3 linked regions of the Notamacropus eugenii genome follow. The protein of the gene in region 1 interacts with the protein of each later gene in a pairwise test. Links are inferred from orthologs where the notes say so. Each region holds a gene or a part of one and is shown in the gene's direction. Other genes may lie near its edges.

The links.
Region 2: the proteins of SRPK2 (region 1) and zinc finger and SCAN domain-containing protein 9-like interact in binary tests that used the Homo sapiens proteins (3 or more experiments, as listed by UniProt). The two-hybrid records come from large-scale screens. The link is inferred for Notamacropus eugenii from reciprocal best matches to the Homo sapiens genes SRPK2 and ZSCAN9.
Region 3: the proteins of SRPK2 (region 1) and FXR2 interact in binary tests that used the Homo sapiens proteins (3 or more experiments, as listed by UniProt). The link is inferred for Notamacropus eugenii from reciprocal best matches to the Homo sapiens genes SRPK2 and FXR2.

What each region holds. Positions count from the first base shown.
Region 1 is NC_092874.1:150,434,181-150,441,303, forward strand, and holds the start of SRPK2 (SRSF protein kinase 2), read left to right. Parts: upstream 1-4,113; 5' UTR 4,114-4,397; coding exon 4,398-4,506; intron 4,507-4,868; exon of another isoform or gene 4,869-5,081; coding exon of another isoform or gene 5,082-5,097; intron 5,098-5,213; coding exon 5,214-5,268; intron 5,269-7,123. UniProt on the Homo sapiens protein: Serine/arginine-rich protein-specific kinase which specifically phosphorylates its substrates at serine residues located in regions rich in arginine/serine dipeptides, known as RS domains and is involved in the phosphorylation of SR splicing factors and the regulation of splicing.
Region 2 is NC_092873.1:72,350,443-72,357,980, forward strand, and holds the start of zinc finger and SCAN domain-containing protein 9-like, read left to right. Parts: upstream 1-4,500; 5' UTR 4,501-4,602; intron 4,603-5,541; 5' UTR 5,542-5,687; coding exon 5,688-6,069; intron 6,070-7,538. UniProt on the Homo sapiens protein: May be involved in transcriptional regulation.
Region 3 is NC_092873.1:78,374,640-78,381,708, forward strand, and holds the start of FXR2 (RNA-binding protein FXR2), read left to right. Parts: upstream 1-4,031; 5' UTR 4,032-4,132; coding exon 4,133-4,213; intron 4,214-4,655; exon of another isoform or gene 4,656-4,745; intron 4,746-5,211; exon of another isoform or gene 5,212-5,264; intron 5,265-7,069. UniProt on the Homo sapiens protein: mRNA-binding protein that acts as a regulator of mRNAs translation and/or stability, and which is required for adult hippocampal neurogenesis. Specifically binds to AU-rich elements (AREs) in the 3'-UTR of target mRNAs.

The sequences.
Region 1 (7,123 bases):
TATGTATATTTGTCTCATTCTATACTCTGAATCTTTCACATCACTATGAAGTATGTGGGTAGCATGTTTCATCATTAGTGTTCTGGAATTTAGGTTAAACTTTGCAATGACTCAGTGAACTTCAGCTCCTTAGACCTCAGTTTCTTCCCCTGTAAAATGAGTGCATTGAACTAGATGATATCTAAGGTCTCTTTGAGCTCTGAATCTTTCATTCTGTGATCCCTGATTATGCTCTAATGGAATCTGTGATGTCAATGTGGGTACTCTCATCAAGGACCGCAAAGTGTTCATGATTGTCTATCCTAGTCTAGTTGTTAACAACCTTCAATAAATCCACCATAAAAGGTACTCCCAATATGCTGGTGGTATTCCTCACACTTTCTTTGAAATATTTTTTATTCCAAATTTGACAAATACCAACAAACATAAAAGTTTCTGATTATAAAGAAAAGTAGAAAAAATGTGCATATGAAATCTTCACCTTAATATCTATTATATACTGTTTTTTACAAGTGTATGTTAAGTTTAATAGAGAAGTATCAACACTGTCCTGTTTTCTGTGCCACCTTCTGCTCTTTGACTGTGTTTTAATGTTTAATTTACACTTTTCTTCATTTTTTGTCATTACTATCACTACTCCAACTCCCTCCCTAAGACTTTCCTCTTCCCAAAATAAATGCCTTCACTTTGTAACAAATAAGTATTGTCAAATAAAAAAACAAGCATTCTTCCCATCCCCTGCAAAAATAAACAAAATACATTAAAGACTGCTTCATGAATTTGTATGTCAACCTTGAACATGAGTCATACTAATTTCTTTATTATTCCAATTTTAGCATATGTGCTGCTGTAGTAGGCACTTTCTTGCAAGTTTGTGACATTGAAACATATGTGCTATCCTTCAGTTTTCCTTTGCTTTTGCTGTGTGACTGGCCCATCTTCTTTTTCCAGTGATAAATTTCTCTGATGACATTTGTTATACAGTTTCTACCGTGTAAGTCCTCCCTTGTAATGTATTGCCACTTATATTTCAGCCACAAACCATGCATCTTTCCTTTATTCTTTGGGAATCCTTAATTTCAGTTGTTTGGAGACCATAGTGTTTCATTACTCAAAGGCATGCAACATTACCGGGAAACTATTGATGTCAGAAAGATGGGCTTTTGTTTTGTGGAGAAGCTTGGGATCACTAAATGAACTGTGCAGTTTTCCACAGGCCTTCCAGCTCTCCTTCCTCCTCCTGTTCAGTTGTGGACCTAACTCATTGTTCATTGGTAGTATCTTTCCAGGATATATGTACTAATAGATGAGCTCTATGGTTTGCCTATCCAACTGTTTATCATCCTTGATATGTTTTATCATATGGCACTAGAACCTTTTATTTCATTTTAAAATAAAGGAAATGTATGCTTTTTTTTTTTTTTTTTACTATATTGCTTTTCACTTGTGTGTTCCCTGAAGTCTTCTTTCAAACAACTTTGTCATTTGTAAAGATAAGAATTAGCTTTATAGGGAGTAAATTTCTAAACTGTACAGATTAGTGAGAGAGTTACTATAGTAAAATAAAAAAAAAAAGAAAAAGTACTAGATTTGGACTCAATCTAGATCTGAATTTGAAACCCAGTTCCATTAAACTTTTCAGGGAAAGGAAAGGGAACAAGAAGATTAGAAACTGGTTCTAGTCTGGTTGACAGGTGTCTACCATATGCTAGACACTATGCTAAATGCTTTACAAAGATAATTTCTCTTGATCTTCATAAAAACCCTGTGAAGTAGATGGCATTATTATCCTTATATTATAGTTGAGAAAACTGAAACAGTCAAAGGTTAAGTGACTTGCCTAGGGTTATACATCTAGTAAATATCTGAGGCTGGATCTGAACTCAGATCTTCTTGATTTAAGACCCAGTACTCTACCAGTTAGCTGCCTTAGATGTCACTTAAGTTTTTTAAGCCTCAGGATACTTATCTGTAAAATGGGGATTATATTACCATTCTCACAGGGCTGTTGTAAGGAGAATACTTTGGAAACCATAAAATGCTATAAAATATGACCTGGTATCATTATTATTCATATTTTGGTAGTTCTCTGTGTCTCTTCTAGCCCCCAAATTCTGACTCTCTTAATTTATATAGCAATAAGACAAGTATCATGGTTAAGTATTTAATAAATGCTGTTTGATGATGATGAAGTTATATTTTTATTAAAGAAATTCAAGGCACTTTGCAAATATTGCATTATTAATACTGGGCCACAAGTGTTATCCTCCCTTAATTTATAGAAATGTACTCACATTTTGGTCACAAGAACAAACACATTTAAGTTTTACATCCAAAAGATACATTTAGGCTATATAGTATCCTTTAGAACATTACATGTTTTCATAAATGTTATGGCTAGTCAACCTTGAGGTAAGGATACATTTATAAAACTTCTCTGACAATGAAATAGCTGATGTACTTTTGAAAACTTCATTGTAGCCAATTATGAAGGCAACTTAGTAAACTGGATTTAGTGTCAAAGATGCTGGGCTTGAATACTAATTCTGCTACTTCACTACTTGTGTGATCTCAAGCAAGCCTTTCCCTGGGCCTTGGTTTCATTTTCTGTTTTTCTCTATCTAAGGACTCCTGGATCTTACCATCTGCCCTAAAACTGTACCCTTACATCTTCAGAGCCTTCCTGTCCACACTGTATTGTCTTTCCCTACTTAGAACTGAACGTGATGTCTTTGCCAAATATAGTATGAAATCCTTGAGAGAGTAAGGGCTATTAACTTTTTCTACTTCTATCTAAAGAGGTAAGCAAGGTGATTGTCACATGGTGGATACAGAACCTGGAGTCAGGAAGATACAGCTTCCTGAGTTCAAATCAGCCCTCAGACACTTAGTAATGGTGTGACCCATAGCAAGTCACTTAACCCCTGATTGGCCTCAGTGTCCTCATCTGTAATAAGAGCTGGAGAAGGGCATGGGAAACCACTCCAATATCTCTGCCAAGAAAACTCCAAATAGGGTCACAAATAGTCAGACATAACTGAAAAAAGAACACAATAAGCAACAAAATAAACAACTTAAAATGCTTTATTCATTCATCTGTATGAGATTGGAGTATAATGATCACTGTGAATTCCTGGAAAGCGGGAATTATCTTTTGCTTTTCTTTGCACCCCAATGCTCAGTATAGTACTTGCCACATAGTAGGCCTTGACTAATGTTGACTTCTAGTTCTAAATCTTGTGATTTGAATGAGCAGGATAATAACATTACCTTTTTATTTTCTTGATGCTTTTATTGCTTTGACTCTTTTAACTTTTCATTTATAGGTAGGGTACCTTCTGCTGGTCTTCAATAAATGTGCCAGGGCTGTATTTAATCTTTTTTTTTTTAAAAGACTACATTTAAGGATTTTAGCACATCTCTGAAAACTTTTGGTATAGTATTCTGTGATATTATTAAAGCATTCTTGTTAATTGATGCTGAAAGTTATTTAAAATAGGGATCTTTTGGGGCACAATTGGAAGGACATTTCAAACAGATAATCAGCCTTCTTTTTCTTTCTTTATTTTTTCCTAAACTAATACTTTCCACTAAAAATGAACATTTTGGGAAGATCACTCCTACACTGAGGATATATATATATAATATATATGGCATATATATTATATATATATATACACACACACATCAATAATCTCACAAGATATGATACTCTCATTCCTCACAAAAGAAATCAAGACTTCCATATTTACTCATGAGGAAACATGCTTGGTGAGGTTATATATTATTTGCGTTCATAGTTTTTAGAAGCTGAAACATTAGAGATCATCTCCTTGTCTAAATTCATACCATGACAAAGACAGGGTTAAACTGTGATAGGAATCAGATATGGAAGGGATCTTGGAGAGTTTAGGATCATAGATTCAGAGAATGGGTCATAAAAGCCACCTAGTCCAAGATCCTCATTGTACAGGTGAAGATATGATGGCCCAGAGGAGCACAGTGACTTTTCCAAGGTCACCCAGGCCAAGAGAAGAATCTAGATTCGAATGTAGATTGCCATCAGATTCCGGAACCCAGTGCTCTTTCAACCACAGTAACAACATTCGGTCTTTTCAGTATTTCAAGTTAAGCCTTTGAGAAGAGTTAGAAAAGAAAGTTGTTTCACACCTGAGTGACTTGGCTTGGCCTTGAAAGGGCTATCAAAGTTGTGCCAATATTATACCAAGGGGGTACGTTTGTGTCGAGTTCTCTAAATGTAACACCGCTTTTTAAATTTAGATACCTGTGAAAAGGAGCAGGAGAAGCTGGTCCTGGGTCCTAGGGATAAGGGATCAAAACCGATCCGAAGAGAACGGTGGAAGGAGGGACCAACTTGGGGACTAAGGGACGAAAAGATGGAGGAAAAGGGGAAAAGGGGCTTGAGTGGAAAGAAAAGAGGTCGTCTGAACCGGAGCCAGGTCGGGAGGAGACAAGATGGTGTTGGACCAAGTCAAGACTCCTCTGGTGAGCGAGAAGAGGGAAGAAATGCGGGAGCGACCTTCACCGGGAGTTTGGAGGGATGGGGGGATCGCGAGGGCAGGAGCCCGACCCAAGGTGAGTGAGTCCTAGGATGGGGGCTGGGCGGGGGCAGCGACGGGAAGGGAGGGGCGACGGATCGAGGGAGGACCGCGGGGCTGAGCCATTGGAGGAGGAGGCCAGAGCCGGGAGAGGGGCGGGGCTGGTCCCGCAGAGCTCGAGGTGGGGGCTGGGGTTGGGGGAGGACGCTTCTGTGCCAGCTTAGGTTGAGGCGCTCCGAAGCTAGGGTGAGGGAATAGAGAGGGAGGGTGTCAGGAGCTGGCAAGACCTACGCCCGCGGCTGGGGCCCCCAGGCCGGGACGGGGGCGGAGCCTGGGGCGGGGCCGGGCCCTGGGGGCGGGTCCTGCGCTGGGCCCCCGCGGGGAGCGGCGGCCGGTGGCGCAGGCGCGGTTCCCGCCTCCTCCTGGACTGGCGGAGCGAGTGGAGGAGGCTGCAGCCCCCGGCTCCGGCTCCGGCTCCGGCTTCGGCTCCGGCTCCCCGTCACCGCCCCTTCCCTGAGCGGGATGAGCTCCCGGAAAGGTGTGTGCGCCCTCTCAGCTCTCTGCCCTTCCCGCCGCCCCGTCCCTCGGAGGCCACAACGTCCCCAACCGTTAATGTGTGTCTCTCTCTCTTCCCTTCCCCCCCACCCCCCACAGTGCTGGCCATTCAGGCCCGAAAGCGGAGGCCGAAGAGAGAGAAACATCTGAAAAAGTGAGTCCGGACTCCCCGACGTCGTCCCGCCTCCACCCCCTTGGTCCCTCCAGACTGGGGAGGCTCGGGGGGCGCCGGGTTCCCGCGGAGGAAAGTTGCCCGGACCCCCCTGGGGGCGGGGCAGGGGGCGGGGCGGGACGCGTCGGGCGCCCCCCCTCGGGATGCTCTCTTCTTCCTCCTTCCCCCCCGCCCCGGCTGCGCCCCGGCTGCGCCCCTCTCGCGGGACGCTCCCCCCTCCCACCGGACGCTCCCCCCTTCCCCCGCAGCACTCCCTCCCCTGGGGCCCCGGGGAAGGCGGACGAGGCGAGGGCTCCCGGCAGCTGCCGGTCGCTGTCCCGGGGCTGGGGGGAGGGGTGGGTGCGTGCCTCCCGCGGCCGCCGCCGCCGCCGCCGCCGCCGCCGCCTTTGGCTCAGACCGGAGCTCTGCATCCTAGCCCAGACCTCTGCCTCCTTGGGTGGGGGAGGGAGAGCGGCCGTCGGGGTGTTGGGATGAATGGCTCAGGCCAGCGCGTGCCCTTTCTTTTGCTTTTAACTCTCCTTCCTCATTTTGTATTTTGTCTTAGTGAGCCTCGAACGCTTTTTTCCTCTCGGTGAGGAGGTCTAAGTTTGTAGTTGCAGGTGTAGAAGATGTACTGGAATTCATTCATTCATTCACCAATCAACCACTCTTCCTTTTCCCCGGTCTTCGCCTCTCACCCGGGGAATTATTTATTGGAGGAGAGGGACATCCCGGTTTCTCACTTTTTTCTCCTCTTCTTCAGCTATCCTTCGTATTCGCTCCCACGCCCCGAGTAGATAGTATTGGTATTTATACTACTGCGTCGAAAATCGGCGTTTGTTCTGCGAAAAGTGTATTGATTTGCTTTGGATAAATCTGCTCCGTGTTGGTGTGAGTTGAGTTTTCACAGTTTCTGTATTTTGGAGTTCTTCATTTTTTCCCCGAAACTTTATTGTAGGGTCATGAACTTCCAGTGTGTTAGCTGCTGGATATTTTTCTCGGTTGGCTTTTGCTTTGAAGAAGCCATCCAGTAGGTGGGCGTATGATTTATGGTGAAAGAGATTGGCATTTGATTAAGCTCCAGCCATTCATTGCCTTAGAAAGTATGATGACTGGTGTTATCATGTTTAAAACGTGCATTCCACCAAGCTGCCACCCCCACTACATCTAAATTTAATATAAACGTATAAATGGACCAGAATTAAACCAGTGGCTAGGGATTTATAATTGGTAGTGTAGCAGAATGGTTCAGCTATGTTTTCTGCCCTGGAATGTATCTTTTGAAGCACTGGAGTCAGCGAAGATTTTTCATTGACCAATATTCAACATTTTTTCTTTTTATATGCTTAAGAATTCCTTTTAAGCAAAAATATTTTCATGAATGTGGTTGGGTGGCAATATAGGGGTGTCATCGTGGTAAATGTTTTAAGAATTTAAAATTTAAATGAAATTATAAAATGTCTAGTTTAAGTTAGGACTTTCTTTGGGAGGCTCCCTATAACTCATCCAAGGTTTTTCTTTATCATTCTTCTTTTAGAAGAATCTAATGTTAGTGACATCTGTGAAAGCTCATTAAATCATTATTAATGGATGAGGTGGTATAATATAACTGAAAATTATTCATTCACAAATGAATCCTGAGTTCAGCAAGTATACCAAGAATTACACACATTATACATGAAGTGGTGGGATGTTTTTTAAAAAGTGAGGAAACTAGACAAAAAATATTCTGAAATTTGAGACAGTAAATGTAAAAATTATCCTTTGGCTTTGAACTTAGTGTGGATTAGAACTGAATGGATCTATTTTATGTAACTTGTTTCTGTAATTAGCAACACAAGGTAGATTTTGGAAAATT
Region 2 (7,538 bases), on another chromosome or scaffold:
AGATTGAAGCATATCTTTTCTTAGCTTTCTTTATCTTTCTTGGTTTTTTATTTGTTTGTTTTTTTTCTTTTACAACATGACTAACATGGACATATGATTTGCATGATTGCCCAATGTCAAATTGCTTGCCTTCTCAATGGGATGGGGCAGAGAGGAAGAGAACTGAGAACTCAAAATTTTAAAAAATGAGTGTTAAAGATTGCTGTGTATGTAATTAGGGAGAAATAAAATGTTATATCATATTTTAAAATTCAGAAGAGAATAAAAGGTCAAGAATATCAAGGGAATTAATGAAAAAAGTGAAAGATGGAAGTATAACAGTATCAGATGTCATACTGTTCAAGCAGAATTATAAATGACCACAAGTTTGTGTTTGATAAATTCAAGATCCAAGTTTTTGGGACAAGACTCACTATTTGCCAAAAGCTGCTGGGAAAACTGGAAAGAAGTGTGGAATAAACTTGGCATAGACCAATATCTCACACTATATGCCAAGATAAGGTCAAAATGGAACCATGATTTAGACATAGAGGGTGATATAAGCAAATTAGAGGGACTTGGAAAAAATTATCTGTCAGATATATGGATAAGGGAAGAGTACACAACCAAATAAGAAATAAGGAGAATCATAGAAAGCAAAATAGATAATTTTGATTATGTTAAAAAGGTTTTGTACAAACAATACCTATTCAGACAAAATTAGAAAGAAAGCAGAAAATTAGAAAAAATTTTATACAGTTTCTTTGATAAAGATCTCATTTCTCAAAAGTATAGGGAGCTGAGACAAAATTATGAAAATGGGAGTCATCCCTCAATTGATAGTCAAATGATACGAACAAGCAGTTTTCAGAAGAAATCAAAGCTATCAAGTCATATGGAAAAAATGCCCTAAATCATTAATAATTAGACAAATTCAAATTAAACACCTCTGAGGTACTATCTTATGCCTAATAGATTCTTTAATGTGCCAGAAAAGGAAAATGATAAATGCTAAGGGTTTGGAAAAATAAATACCTGGGTTGGTTGGTTTTTGTAATTCATTCTCAGAGAGGATCAAAATGACATCACTGTACTAGAGTCAAGTTTCAATGTGTCTGACTGTGGCTGATCAGACCAATATAAGCTTGGAATGCTCTACCACGGCTTGGGCACAAATGGTCTGTGTGAACATTTGGGGTGAATTCTTTAAATTTACTCATCCTGTGTTTCCTTTGAGCTGTTTGAATTCTGCTTTACTTATAGAGCACAGCACCTTCTCTGATGTGGACACGCCATTCTAAGAGGTCCTGTGCCAGCATTTCCCATGTCATACAATCAATTCCAAATTTCTTAAGAAGGACCTTGAGAGTGTCCTTATATAGCTTCTTCTGATCACCATGTGAACGCTTGCCCTGAATTCTCTGTAAAATAGTCATTTATGCAAATGTACATTTTGCATTCTAATAACATGGTCAGCCCAGTGGAATTGCACTCTCTGAAGCAGAATTTGAGTGCTTGGCAGTTTAGTTTGAGAAAGGACCTCAGTGTCTGGTACCTTATCCTGCCAGGTGATCTTCAGAATCTTCCTGAGACAACTAAAATGGAAGTGATTCAGTTTCCTGGTATGGAGCTGGTATACTGTCCAGGTTTCACAAGCATACAATATGAGGTCAGCATAATGGCTCTGTAGACCTTCAATTTGGTAGTCAGTCTAATAACTCTTCTCCCCCATACTTTCCTTTAGAGCCTCCCCAAAATTGAACTGGCTCTGGCAATGTGTGCGCCAACCTCATTATCACTGTGTATATCCCTGAAAAGTATACTACCAAGGTAAGTAAAGTTATCCACAGCGTTCAAAACTTCTCTATTTGCTGTAACCAATGATTCCACATATGGGTGGTGTGGTGGTGGCTGATGGAACACCTATGTTTTCTTCGTCTTATTAGGCCAAAATTAGCACAAACAGCAGAGAACTGATCCATACCATGTTGAATCTCACCTTCAGGGGGTGCACTGAGCACACAATCATCTGAAAACAGAAAATCATGCACCAACATTCCCTCCACTTTGGTCTTGGCTTGTAGCTTTTTCAAGTTGAAGAATTTACCATCAATGCGGTAGCTAACCTTGATTCCATGTTCATCCTCATTGAAAACATTTGACAACACGACTGAAAACATGCTAAAAAGCATGGGAGCAACCACACAGCCTTATTTCACTCCATTGGTGACTGGGAGACCATGAGAGCATTGTCTTAATGAACTGTTGGTGGAACAGTGAACTGATCCAACTATTCTGGAGAAAAATTTAGAACTATGCCCAAAGAGCTACAAAGTTTTGATACCCTTTGACTCAGCAATACCAATACTAAATCTGTATCCCAAAGAGATCAAAGGAAAAGGAAAAGGATCTATATGTACAAAAATACAGCAAATCTTTTTGTGGTGGCAAAGAATTAGAATTTGAGGGATGACCATTGATTGGGGAATGGCTGAACAAGTTGTGGTATGTGATTATGACCAATACCATTTGTGTTATTAAGAAATAAGGAAGGGAAATCTGTAAAGACTCACATGAACTGACGCATAGTAAAGTGAACATTGTAAAGTGAATATTGAGACGTGAAACAGGAGAACGATGTACACAGTAATAGCAAAATTGTTTAATGAAGAACTGTGCATGACTTAGCTCTTCTCAGCAATACAATGATCTAAGACAATCCCAAAGGACTAATGATGAAGCATACTATCTGCCTCCAAAGAAAGAACTGATATTGTTTGAATACTGAATAAAGCATGCTATTTTTCACTCTTTCATTTTTTTCTTTTGTTTGAGTCTTCTTGTACAGAATGACTTATATGGAAATATTTTATATGATTTCACATGTATAACCTATATCTGATTGCTTACCATCTCAGGAAAGGGAGAGTAGAGGGAGGGATAGAATATGGAATCCAAAACTTTAAATTAAAATGTTTAAAAATTGAAAAAAAGAAATAAGGAAGGGGATACTTTCAGAAAAACCTGGGAAGATTTATATGGATTGATGCAAAGTGAAGTGAGTAGAACCAGAATGTTTTCACAGTAACAGTAATATTCTAACAATAATTAACTATGAAAGACTTAGCTACTCTGATGATGATCACAAAGGACTCATGATGAAAAATGCTATGCATATTCGTAAAGAGAACTGATGAAGTTGGTGCAGACTGAAGCATATTTTTTCCGCTTTCTTTATTTTTCCTAATTTTTTTGGCCACATGGCAGCTAGGTGGCATAGTGGATAGAATGCTGAGCCTAGAGTCACTTACCTTCCTGAGTTCAAGTTTGGCTTCAGACAGTAGCTGTGTGACCCTGAATAAGCCACTTAACCCTGTTTGCCTCAGTTTCCTCAGCTATAAAATCACCTGGAGAAGGAAGTAGAAAATCATTCCAGTATCTTTGCCAAGAAAACCCCCAATGGGGTCAAGAGGAGCCAGACATGACCAATTAACTAAACAGCAAGTAATATGGAAATATGTTTTGTATGACTTCATGTGTATAATAGGTATCATAGTGCTTGCCTTCTCAGCAAGTGGGAGAGGGGCTGAAAGGAGGGAAAGAAATGGAAACTGAATTTCTTTTTAAATGAATGTCAATTTTTCTTTTTAATTTTTAAAAAAGGCTACAGAAAGGTTAAGTAGATTGAGGAGTGATTGGATTTGGAAATTAAAAGATAATTAGTAACTTTGGAGAGAACAGTTTCTGATGGAATATGCAATCTGGAGCCAAACTCCAAGAAGTTTAGAATATAAAATAAAAAGTGTTATTTTTGACATTCAAAACCGTTCCCACTTTCCTAGTCTCCTTATACCTTATTCACCCTCACCTACTCTAGGATCTAGTGACACTGGCCTCCTTACTGTTCCTCATCTAAGACAATTGATCTTCCTACTCTGGCCATTTTCACTGACTATTCCCTATGCCTGAAATTCTCTTCTGTTTCATCTCTACTTACTTTCTTCCCTGACTTCCTTTGAATCCCAGGCAAAAATCTTACCTTCTAAAAGAAAGCTTTTTCCAATATCCTCTTATTGCAAATAACTTCTCTGTTATCTTCAATTTATCTTATAAATAGTACACCTTGTACAGTTACTATACATAGTAACTGTATATATGTGTATATATACATATATGTATATATGTAGTGTGCATAATACATATTACATATATTAGATACACACATACGTACAGTAACTTAAAGGGTTCAGTTTGGGGACTATTGCTCAATATTTTGCAAGGAGGCCCAACCTGCAGGTTTTGCTTTAGGGATCAAAATTTTCAGTTTCAGTACTAGCTTTTCCAGTTTCCTCTAAGCTAGCTGAACACCAGCCAGGATACTGGCTTTAAATGGTTAGAAAAGAGCCTGTGTAATATCAGAGGATGGAGATTCAAGGGGTGAAGAGATCTGGCGCTGGGAAAACGAGAGGAGAATTCCTAGAGAGTCCCGGAAATAACTGGTGCTTTACGATTGGTTGGTATTTGTTAGGTCTGACTAGTGTTCCTGCCTTGAGTTCTATCCTTTACCTCCTTTCCTGCGGCTCAGGACTGAGCGTACCCTTCTCCCCAGTTAACCCGTTTTAGGTGAGTTGGTCCTGGAAATGAGATCTGTCCAGCTGTGGCCCTAAGGGTTTCCCCCTCTATCAGCTGGAAGGGGGTGGATTTGGAGCAATCACCTCCCTATTCTCCCCAGACCAGCTCTGAACCCTGGCAGAGAGAGTGCTATGAGGAGGGGTGTTGTGATTACACTGGGGCCAGAGAACCAAAGTAGACATTGGCCTCTGGGGCTACCATGCAGCTTGCTTGGGAGGGTCAGTGAACCTATTAAAAAAAAATAAGCAGTGATTACAAAGAAGCAGCCTTGCTTCTTTAAGAATAAGTTATGCTAGACTAACCTTATTTCCTTTTTAGAAAATGTTAGTTATTATTCTAATAGGTTATGGGAATGCTACCCATATAGTTTACCTAGATTTTAGAAAAGTCGAGACAAAAACTGTTCTGGTCAAGACGGAGAGATGTGAGCTAGAAAGTAGTGCAGTTAGGAAGATTCAGAACTAAACAAGGTGTAATCAGTAAATGACTGAATATAAACTTGGAAGTTCTCTATTTGAAGCTTTCGGATGTTTCAGAGTTTCAAGAATTTAGAGATCCAAGGACAGGCACAATATTTCTATTGGTTACTTTACTTAACTGCTTCCATGATAGATACAGATCTCTAACAGTTCTAAGTAAAATCCTAGTTTTCTGCTTTTGGTTTATAAGGTGAATGATTTATGTGTCTGAATTGCTATTACCTTTAATTGTGCTTATTCTCCCTGTCACAAAGTGACCTTGCTTTCAGTAAATCACCCTTATGGCTGAATATATATAAAAATACATATACACACATGTATATGTATATATACATATATACACATGTTTACATATATGTCTCTCTCTGTGTGTGTATATATATATACCTGTAAGTCAGTTCTTAGTACCATATGTCATTTCTCCATATTAACAGCAATTTTTGTAACTCAGGACTGATACCTGAAGAAAAGAACTTTTCTTGCTGGAATAAGCTATCTCTTGAGCTTTAGAAGTCTCCAACGGATACAAAATTAAGGGAGGCTGTAACCCTGGGAGTGCAGGCTCTAGTGGGACAGGAAGGGTTGCTTACAGAGAAAATGGAGGAGAAAGACCACTGCAGCGGGCAAGAATTCAGCCTGCAAAGAAATAATCCCCAGGAAAGGGAACTCTTCCGCCAACGTTTTCGTCAACTATGCTATCAGGAGACACCAGGCCCCAGAGAGGCCCTCAGTCAACTCCAGATATTTTGTCATCAGTGGTTAAGACCAGAAATGCATACAAAGGAAAGGATCCTAGAGTTGCTGGTGCTGGAACAATTCCTGACCATCCTTCCTGAAGAACTTCATACTTGGGTGCAAGAACACCATCCAGAGAGTGGAGAGGCAGCAGTGATTCTGTTGGAGAATTTGGAAAGAGAGCTTGATGAACCAGATCATCAAGTGGGAATAGGGAGAGGAATTCTGCTGTGCAGAGAAGAAGGTATGTAGATCTTCATGGAGGAAAAAATTGGCAGGAAAATTGCTTAATTTAAATTTCCTATTGGTTTTATGTCTGTTTCTTCCTTTATGTTTTACCTCCCATTAACCTTAGGAGTTAAATAAAATTCTTCTCACTCCTTATATCTATTGTATCTCAGGAATATTTAACTCAGTAAGTATTTTAAAGCCCCTGCTAAGTGCAAGGAACTGTTAGAAGCTACATATAAAAAGGTAAAAAGCTATATAACCCCTGAATGAATGGATTTTGTTCAATTTACTGGGGATAAGGCATGTACACAAATAAATACATACAGGGTAGAATATAATAAAAAATTTGAGGATTTTTGGGGTGAAAAATTTGGAGTGAGGTAATTGGACAGTTTGAAGTAACATTGTACTTGCCTTGAAGAAAGAATGGTTTTCCACAAGTGGAAATGTGAAAGGGAGTATATCACTGGAATAGTGCCTACTCTGTACCAGTGTATAGTGAAATTGGAGAAGTCAGTCAATAACAATTCAGCTACTACTATGTATCAGGTACTATGCTAAGCACTGGAAATACACAAAAAATGGAGCTCACAATCTAATGAGGGAAAATGACATAAAAAGAAAATGAAAAGAGAAGGGTGAGGGAGAGGGAAGAACAAAGATACCTGTTAAAAGGGCATGATGAAGTCCTTCATCATGGGAAATTAAGAGATGGTGGCCCTGGGCCCTCTCAATGAATGGAAGATCTAAGAGGAACTCACTGATGTCCACCTTCCACCCTCTCCAATTAATGGGAGAAAGAATGCAAGTGGTCCAACTTGATGAATAGATTGAAGGAACTGGAAATGTTTAGTTTGGAGAAGATTCAGGGATAGCATCAGAGCCATCTTTCAGTATTTGAAACACATGCAAGAGGGATTAAACTTATTCTGTTTGGTCCCTGACAACAGAACTAAGAGAAGTGTAGGGGACCAACTTTGGCTTAAGATCAGGAGAAACTTCCCAACAAATAGTTAGAGCTTCCCAATAGTAGAAATTGTGGGATTCCCATTATTGGAAGTCTTCCAACTCTGAATTCTGTAGAGTAAGTCAGTTCAAATGAATGAGCTTTTAAATATCTACCATGTTCCAGGCACTGTATTAGTTTCTGGGTTGCAGACCTTTCAAAAGAGCTCAGAATTTAGTAGAGAGAACAACATGAACACAAATACATATGATACAAGACAAAAAAATTGCAAAGGAGAAGTCTATTTCCATGAGAAATTTGATAAGGAAGATATTAACTTCAGCTTGGGGAAAAGAAGAGGAGAGGCTTAATGGAGCTTCCAAGGAGGAAATAAGGAACTTCAAAAATTCCAGGTGTGATTGAGCAAAAGCTACAGAGATGAGAGAGGCAATATTGAAGGCAAGAGGTGGAAGGCTGTATAGTTTGCCTGCAGTGTAAAGTAAGGGAAATTTAATTCAAATAGGAAAGGGACGTTA
Region 3 (7,069 bases), on another chromosome or scaffold:
CAATTGCCTCATCCTGGGTCATCTCCAGTCATCCTGATGAATATCTGGTCACTGTTTTCAGATGGCTCTGGAGGAGAAGTGAGGTTGGTGACCTGAACAACCCTTCCTCACTCAGAACAAAGTCAAGTACAAGTCATATCATTATTTCTCTGATAGCATGGTCTTCTTTGGCAACAAAGGACAAACACACATACCTCCCTCCCAATATTTTCATCTTTCTAATCCTTCCTTGATCATTGATTGAGGAACCATTTCTCCAGATCTTCCTCATTCTCTGAATCAGCTTGGGGCTCCAAATTCAGAGATCTGTCAGAATCAGTGGCTAATTACTTACTTTCTGTTGCTCTCATTTTAACTGGACACCCTGGTCTGTCTGCCCTCCCACTTCTTTTTCTTATTACCACTCCCTTTCTCTACTAAACACAGGAGTGCATTTTCTAGATTTTTTTAAAATAAGGGTAAATAAGACATACAAATTCAGAAATAACATATATGAAGGAATTAGAAATTAGAGTAAAAAGAAAACTTTTTAGTACCAGACTGGATAGGATGGAACTTATACACTATTCTCCCTCTAGATTTCTTCAAGCCTTTTTTGGCCTTTAGTAATTTCTTCTAGGCTACAGAATCTAAAGATCCCTTTCCCATTAGTCCCAAAATGAAAATGTTCTGACTCCAAACAATCCCATGGATTTAGTTATTTATCCATCTGAAGAACACTGGCCTTTTCTATTTGTATCCTTAGTGGCAAAGAAAACTTCAGCCTTCTGACTGAAAGGTAGATTTTGAAAAATGTAATCCCTAATCCAACTTGATTCCTTCATCCTCTCAACCAAGGGAAGATGAGAAAATGGAATTTGCACATTATCCACTTAAAAATCCCAATAATTTAGTCTGACACAGGTTACTCTCAAAGTTAAAAAAAATATCCATTTTTTTATTAAAGGATAGAAGAAAAATTTTTCAGAAAAAATAAGCAGGCTTTGGTTGCCTCCCAGATAAGGATGACAGGAACCACTGCTAATAAACAGGGATAAAGGGCAAAAGCCCACATCTCCACATCTACTCCCCATCCCCCAAACATTGCTAAATAACTCCTTGAGGTTTATTGGAATTTCAAGATAATCTGTATGGCCCAAGCACTAACTTTCATTTCTATGATGGGAGTTGAAATGAATTCATTTATCCTAAACCAAGTGAAGGATAGAGGGGTTTTCTTTGGTGGAGTGGGAGTGGCATGGAGTGAAGGGAAAAAAGATATTGACAGTTGCTTGAGTGTCAACCAGGTATGGTCACTATGTTTAACAAGAGCTAAGTGTGTTTATTAGCCCCTCAGCACTTTGATTAGGAGTAGTCTCACCAAAGAGCTAAAACATTCCTTGTATTGAAGAAGATATTGGGTGCTTCAACTGCACAGAATCCCTTCTTAAATAATATCATAAGTTGTCTGAGGAATTTTCTCATCAGTGCAAGAGTCTGTGGGAATATTCTTTTGTGTAAGAGCATTGAAAAATTATTCAACTGCATGAGTTTCCTTTATTATTTACATTGCTATTACTACCTATTAAAATAGTTTGCTATTTAATGAATGACTCTAGCTCGGTAGATAAGGCACTGGATTGAAGTTTGAACCCTATTTTCACTTGTGATTACACAAAATACTCTATACACTTGGAACTGGGGGAATCAAATTCCAGAGTAGAGTGGGACTTTTAAATACTGAAATAGATACGTAGTTGGCAGGCCAGAGCTGAAAAGGCTGGTCAAGTGGCTCCGGTCTGAGATTAGGATGAAATGTGGCATTTTGTAGTCCATCTGACAGATATTTCAAGAGCAGGAGAAGGATATTTAGGGAAGATGTAATGTTGATTCAGCTGAGCATAACTTTCCTAAACCAAGTTGGTCAAGCTGGTCCAAGGTCAGAACAGAGGGAGGGGTTGAAGCTCCTACATCTGGCCCTTTTTGTTCTTAGGCAACCAGGAAGCTACTGAAAGTGTCCTGAGCCTTAGTCCCAGAGCCAATTAAGTCTCCAGGACAGTTTTCAGTGCCTTTTAAGGAAAAGAACTTTGCCCCCCCACCCCCACCCCCACCCCCACCCCTTCCTGCTTCAGCTCACATGGGGAGAAGGCAAAGGGTATCTTTGTTGGATATAAGAAGCATAAGGGACTGAAAAGTATTGAGTCAAAAGATTTGGAGCCTGGAAGAATTGAGATTACCCCAGATCAAGAGGGGTATTTGGGAGGGGGGAATCACTTTTGGAGGAAATCCCAGTAAATCTCCTAGCACTTTAAATTCCTATGCACTTATTTCCTATTTTGCATTTTACCTATCTGTGCACAGATCTAAACCCCTCTAAAAGACTAAGTTCCTCGAGGGTAGGACAAAGTGTTAATCATCTCATCTCCATTTCTTACCGCAGTGCCACAGGATAGAAGGGATTCCTAAAGGTAATTCAGTTCACTATTCATGAAGAGCCTACTGTGTGCCAGGCACTGCACTAAACCCTGGGGGAGCAAAAGCTTTTTTTTCCGGAAAACTTTGAAAAGTTGCTGCCCTCAAGGGCTGTATTTGCAGAAGGAAAGAATGTAATCTCAGCCAGTCCTTATTTTTAGACACTCCCCAGGGTGGCTGATCTGTTGGCCAGCCTGGCCCCGGCCTTTCGCTCCTTCCTTTCCAGCAGCATCACGTTACTGCCTCCTCATTGTCCCTGAACATCCTGTTCTTTCTTCTCTCCCTTTGACTCGCCCCGGCCCTCCAGCACGGACTGGCTCGCTCCGGCCAGCAGGGGCTCTTTTTTTGTCTGGGGAAAGGGACGAAGGCTGCACCTGTGACTTCATTGTTGTGGGGAACTCCCGGTGAGGAAACTTCCTCTGCCAATTCTGACAGTCAGAGAATTGCCCCACAAAGTATTTAGGTGGTTTCCCCCGACCGCAGGGCTAGTGACTAGAAGACCTATGTCCTTGCCTTCGGGGCTTTTACACCCCTCTGCCTCTCATTTGATGATTTAATTCCACCATTTAAATTACGGATTGCTTTAAAATGCATTTTAACAAGCGCATTTCGTGTATGTGTGTGTTCTACACGCCTTTAATGTCTCAGCGAACAGGAAGCAAGCGTGCGCTGGACGGACGGACATCCAGCCAGTGCCGGCACTTAGAGGCTACATACGTCCCGACTCCGCTCCCACTAATGTCCCCCCCCCCCCCCCAACGCTATGAAAGGTTTAAAGCCCCAAGGATGAAGGAGCACCGCAGCGGCCGCTCCGCCGGCGCACGCGCACGAAGCGGACACCTCGACCTGACTCCTTCCACCTTTTCCCCGGCTCCCTTCCCTCGCATCTACGAGTCTGCGCAGCTGGGCAGACAAAAGAGAAATTGGGGGAGGAGGGAAAGTGGGAGAAAGTGACATAAGCAGCCGCTGCGCCCTTCGACACGCCCTTGGAAGGGGTGGTCCCTTCTGCGCAAGCGTAGCTGTGTGCGTGCGTGCGTGCGTGCGGTGTGTTGTATTAGGGGTTAGGGTTAGGGTTAAAGGCTCCAGCTCGGGTGCGCGCGCTAACCACTCACGGTCACGCGCTCCTCGACGCCTGCGCCGTGTTTTTTCTCCTGTCTCTGGGCGCGGGGCGGGAGGGTGCCGAGCGCGCCTGCGCAGTAGGTAGTAGCGCCGGCGGCGGCGGCGGTGGCGGCGGCGGTAGGGGGAGGGAAGGAAGGGGGGAGGGAGGTGGAGGAGAAGGAGGAGGAGGAGGAGGAGGAGGAGGAGGAGGCGGAGGCGGAGGCGGCGGCGGCGGCGGCGGCAGCGGCGGAGGTGGTGGTGGCGGCGGCTTCCCGGGATTGAGGCAGTGGCTGAGGAGACGGCGGCGGCGGCCATTTCCCTCACAGTGGCGGAGACCGAGGCGGCGGCGGACGGGGAGCGGCCCGGCCCCGGCCCCCTGCTCGTCGGCTGTGGCGGGGCCGGTGTGGGGCCTGCCCGGCTCCCGCCCCCTGCGGCGTCCCCGCCAGCTCCTCCTCCTCCCCCGGGGGGGCGACGCAGGGGGCCCGGCCCGGCCCGAGCTCAGGCCGCCGCCGCCGGAGGAGGAGCAGGAGGAGCAGTCGCCGCCGCAGCAGCAGCAGCAGCCGCCGCAGGCGGCGGCCCCTCCATGGGCGGCCTAGCTGTCGGGAGGGACATGGAGCCGGGGCTGCCGGTCGAGGTGCGTGGCTCCAACGGGGCCTTCTACAAGGTGAGGCGGCGCGCCGGCCGGGGACACCTGCCCGCCTGCGGGCCGGGGAAGCGCGGGGCTGTCGGGACTCCTCCTCGGCCACCCCCCGACCCACCTCCAGGAGACACTCCCTGGGCCTGTCCCCGTCCCTTCCCCCCGTGGCTGCTCCAGGCCCCTCGCCTGCTTCTTCCCTCCTTCCCGGGGCAGGGACCTCAGCGCAGGAACACCCTTGCTGCTCATTGCACCGCTGACCTTCCCTTCTGTAGTCACCTAGGGCTGCTGAGACTTGAATTGTGTCTTTGTGTAACCCACCCCCACCCCCATCTTCGGTCCATTATCTCAGGCAGAGCCCCTCCCACTTCGTATTCCCCAACTGAGGGAGAAAAAAGCTGAACCCCAGCTCTAACAGCTGTAGCACCCCCTGACCTCTAGGAAGTCTGTGCTCTGCCATTCATTTTGCTTTCTCATTCGTCGATGGCTTCATTATACAAGTCCTCTACCTCCATACCTCTACTTTCCACGCAAGACCTACCTAGAATATTGCTTGATCCGGGTAAGGACCAGTACATGTATGCACTTTTACATTACCGATGTCATTCCCCAAACGGAGCCTGTGTTCTCCTCCAAGAGGACCTCAAGTGGACCCCTCTCCTAGGAGTGGATACATCCCCTGTTATTTTTCCCTAAAGCATTTCTGTTTCTAGAATGTTCCCTAGTAACTTTCCCTATTTGGGCATTCTCCTACAGCTCTTTTTTTAGGAGTCCCTTTGGAGGACCCTTTTCTGTCCCCAAGCTCCCCTCTGAAGGCATTTCTGCAGAGGTTCCCTCCCTTTATCCACACCCTTTTCTACCCACCCCTAATTTGGTTTCTGGGGTATCCTTTCATAGGTAAAATAACTGAAGTTGAAGACTCACTGCTTCCCAAAGATTTTCTTCTCCTTAATTCTCTAATATGGGGGGGCTGGGAGGGGACATCCTTGTAACTTATACCCTGCCAACGTTTTTGTTCTACCTCCCAGGCCTGAGTTTGAACATATATTGTAGCCTATCCTACATCTGGAAGAACTAGAATGTAAGTTCCTTGAGGGCAGATTGTCATTTTTGTCTTTATCCAGTTCCTAGCAAATAGTTACTTAATAAATGTTTGTTGATATTTCTCCTCTATCACCACATGTGGGGAGAGATTCTGCCCTCCCTTCCCCCTTGTCCTTTACCCAACAGACCCTTATGCCTCTGAGCCATTCTGCTCCCTTTATTCCCCAAAGCATATTTCGCATTATGACTAAAAAGGATTTGGTGTTTGCCATGGTGTGTACTCGCATTTCTCTCATCAGAGAGTTTTCATCTCTGGTAACCTGGGTCTCAGCTCACTCCCTAATCTAAGTAGTTAACTATGTAAACTTCGCCTAACCAATCTGAATCCTTATTTCCAGAAAACTTCCTTAAATCTTTCTTCAGCAAAAAGAGGTTCCTTAGCTGATTCTTTGTCATTTCTTTCCTAAATCCTGGGCTTCCCTTTCAATTCTGGACCATGTGATAACACAGAGTCTTCATAATAGCACCTCAGAGTAGACTCTTGTTTCCTCTTGAACTCACCCCTTAAGCAGCATTCCTATTTGACCTGGCAGAAATTCCTCCATTCCTGATTCCCTTCTGTGTCTGGTAGCATATGCTTGTTCTTAACCTCTTTTCCCTTTATGTTTCCTTGTTTCTTCGTTGAAATGTGCTTCCAGATACCTACTTCATCATGTGGGCCCCTTGCCCTCCTTTTGTATTGTATTCTCTCTAAATCCCCAATCATAAATTCTTCAGGTTCTAGGAGAAAGGATTTGAGATTAGGTCAGAGGTAGTCTATAAAATGTTACATTTAGTCTTCTCTCATTCCTTTGTTACCTGGTATCTAGGGACAGCTTCTAGACAAGATTGGTCTCTAGTAAGAATCATCTAGATGAGAGAAAAGAGGGTTCTCCCCCCCCACTTCACTCCACCCCTTTACATATACACAGGTAGCTGAAACTTCTTTTAAAACCTCAGCTTCTCCAATATTTTGTAAGATCTTTCTCCTCAGCCAGTGTGGATGTGGTGAGGATTTGATTTGAGGTGAGGATGCTTTGGACTTGGAAAGTAGCAGTTTGTTGGGAAACAGGTCATATGGATTTCTGTACTCTTTGACATTTATTTAAATCTCATTTCCCCCATTTTGAAGACTAGAATACCTCAACAATCTATTTACTTGTCTCTCTCAATGCCAGCGTGTTTTTTTTCCCATTACCATTCTCTGTTGAACTCCTTACCCTTTTGTATTTGAATACTTTGCTACTCTGTTTTTAGAACCAGTTTTCATGACTCAGCAGATCAGGGTAGTTAGTAAGGAGGGGCCATGTTGTTTGAGAATTATATCCCCTGACAAGGTTTCTTTCCCTCTCTTCTGGATATGGGAATCCCATTGTATATCCTTTTCTATCTAAGAGACACCCCTTAACAGGATCTTAGTCACTGTAGCTCTAACTCTCCAGCTTTCCTCCAAGAACTTACGTATTTTCCCACTTCAGTCTTAGGCTATTTCAAATTCCATCTCCAGTCCGCTTCTAAGACAGAAACATAGTACCTGATCTGCACCAGAGCTTTTTCCCAGTTGATTCTCCACTCTTTAGACAGCCTGGCTCCTCCCTGACAGCTCCCCAGAGCTCATCATATTGATTCCACACTTAGTTCAGAAACTGATCAGCAGAGTCCACTGCGGCTTTGAGCTCCCTAGCTCAAGAGGTTCACCAACCTCAGCTTCCCTGATAGGAAGGATTTTGTGCCACCATGCTTCCCCATATTATTCGGAAGGACCAGACCAACCTTCAATTTCCACTTCTCCCAGATGCTCTT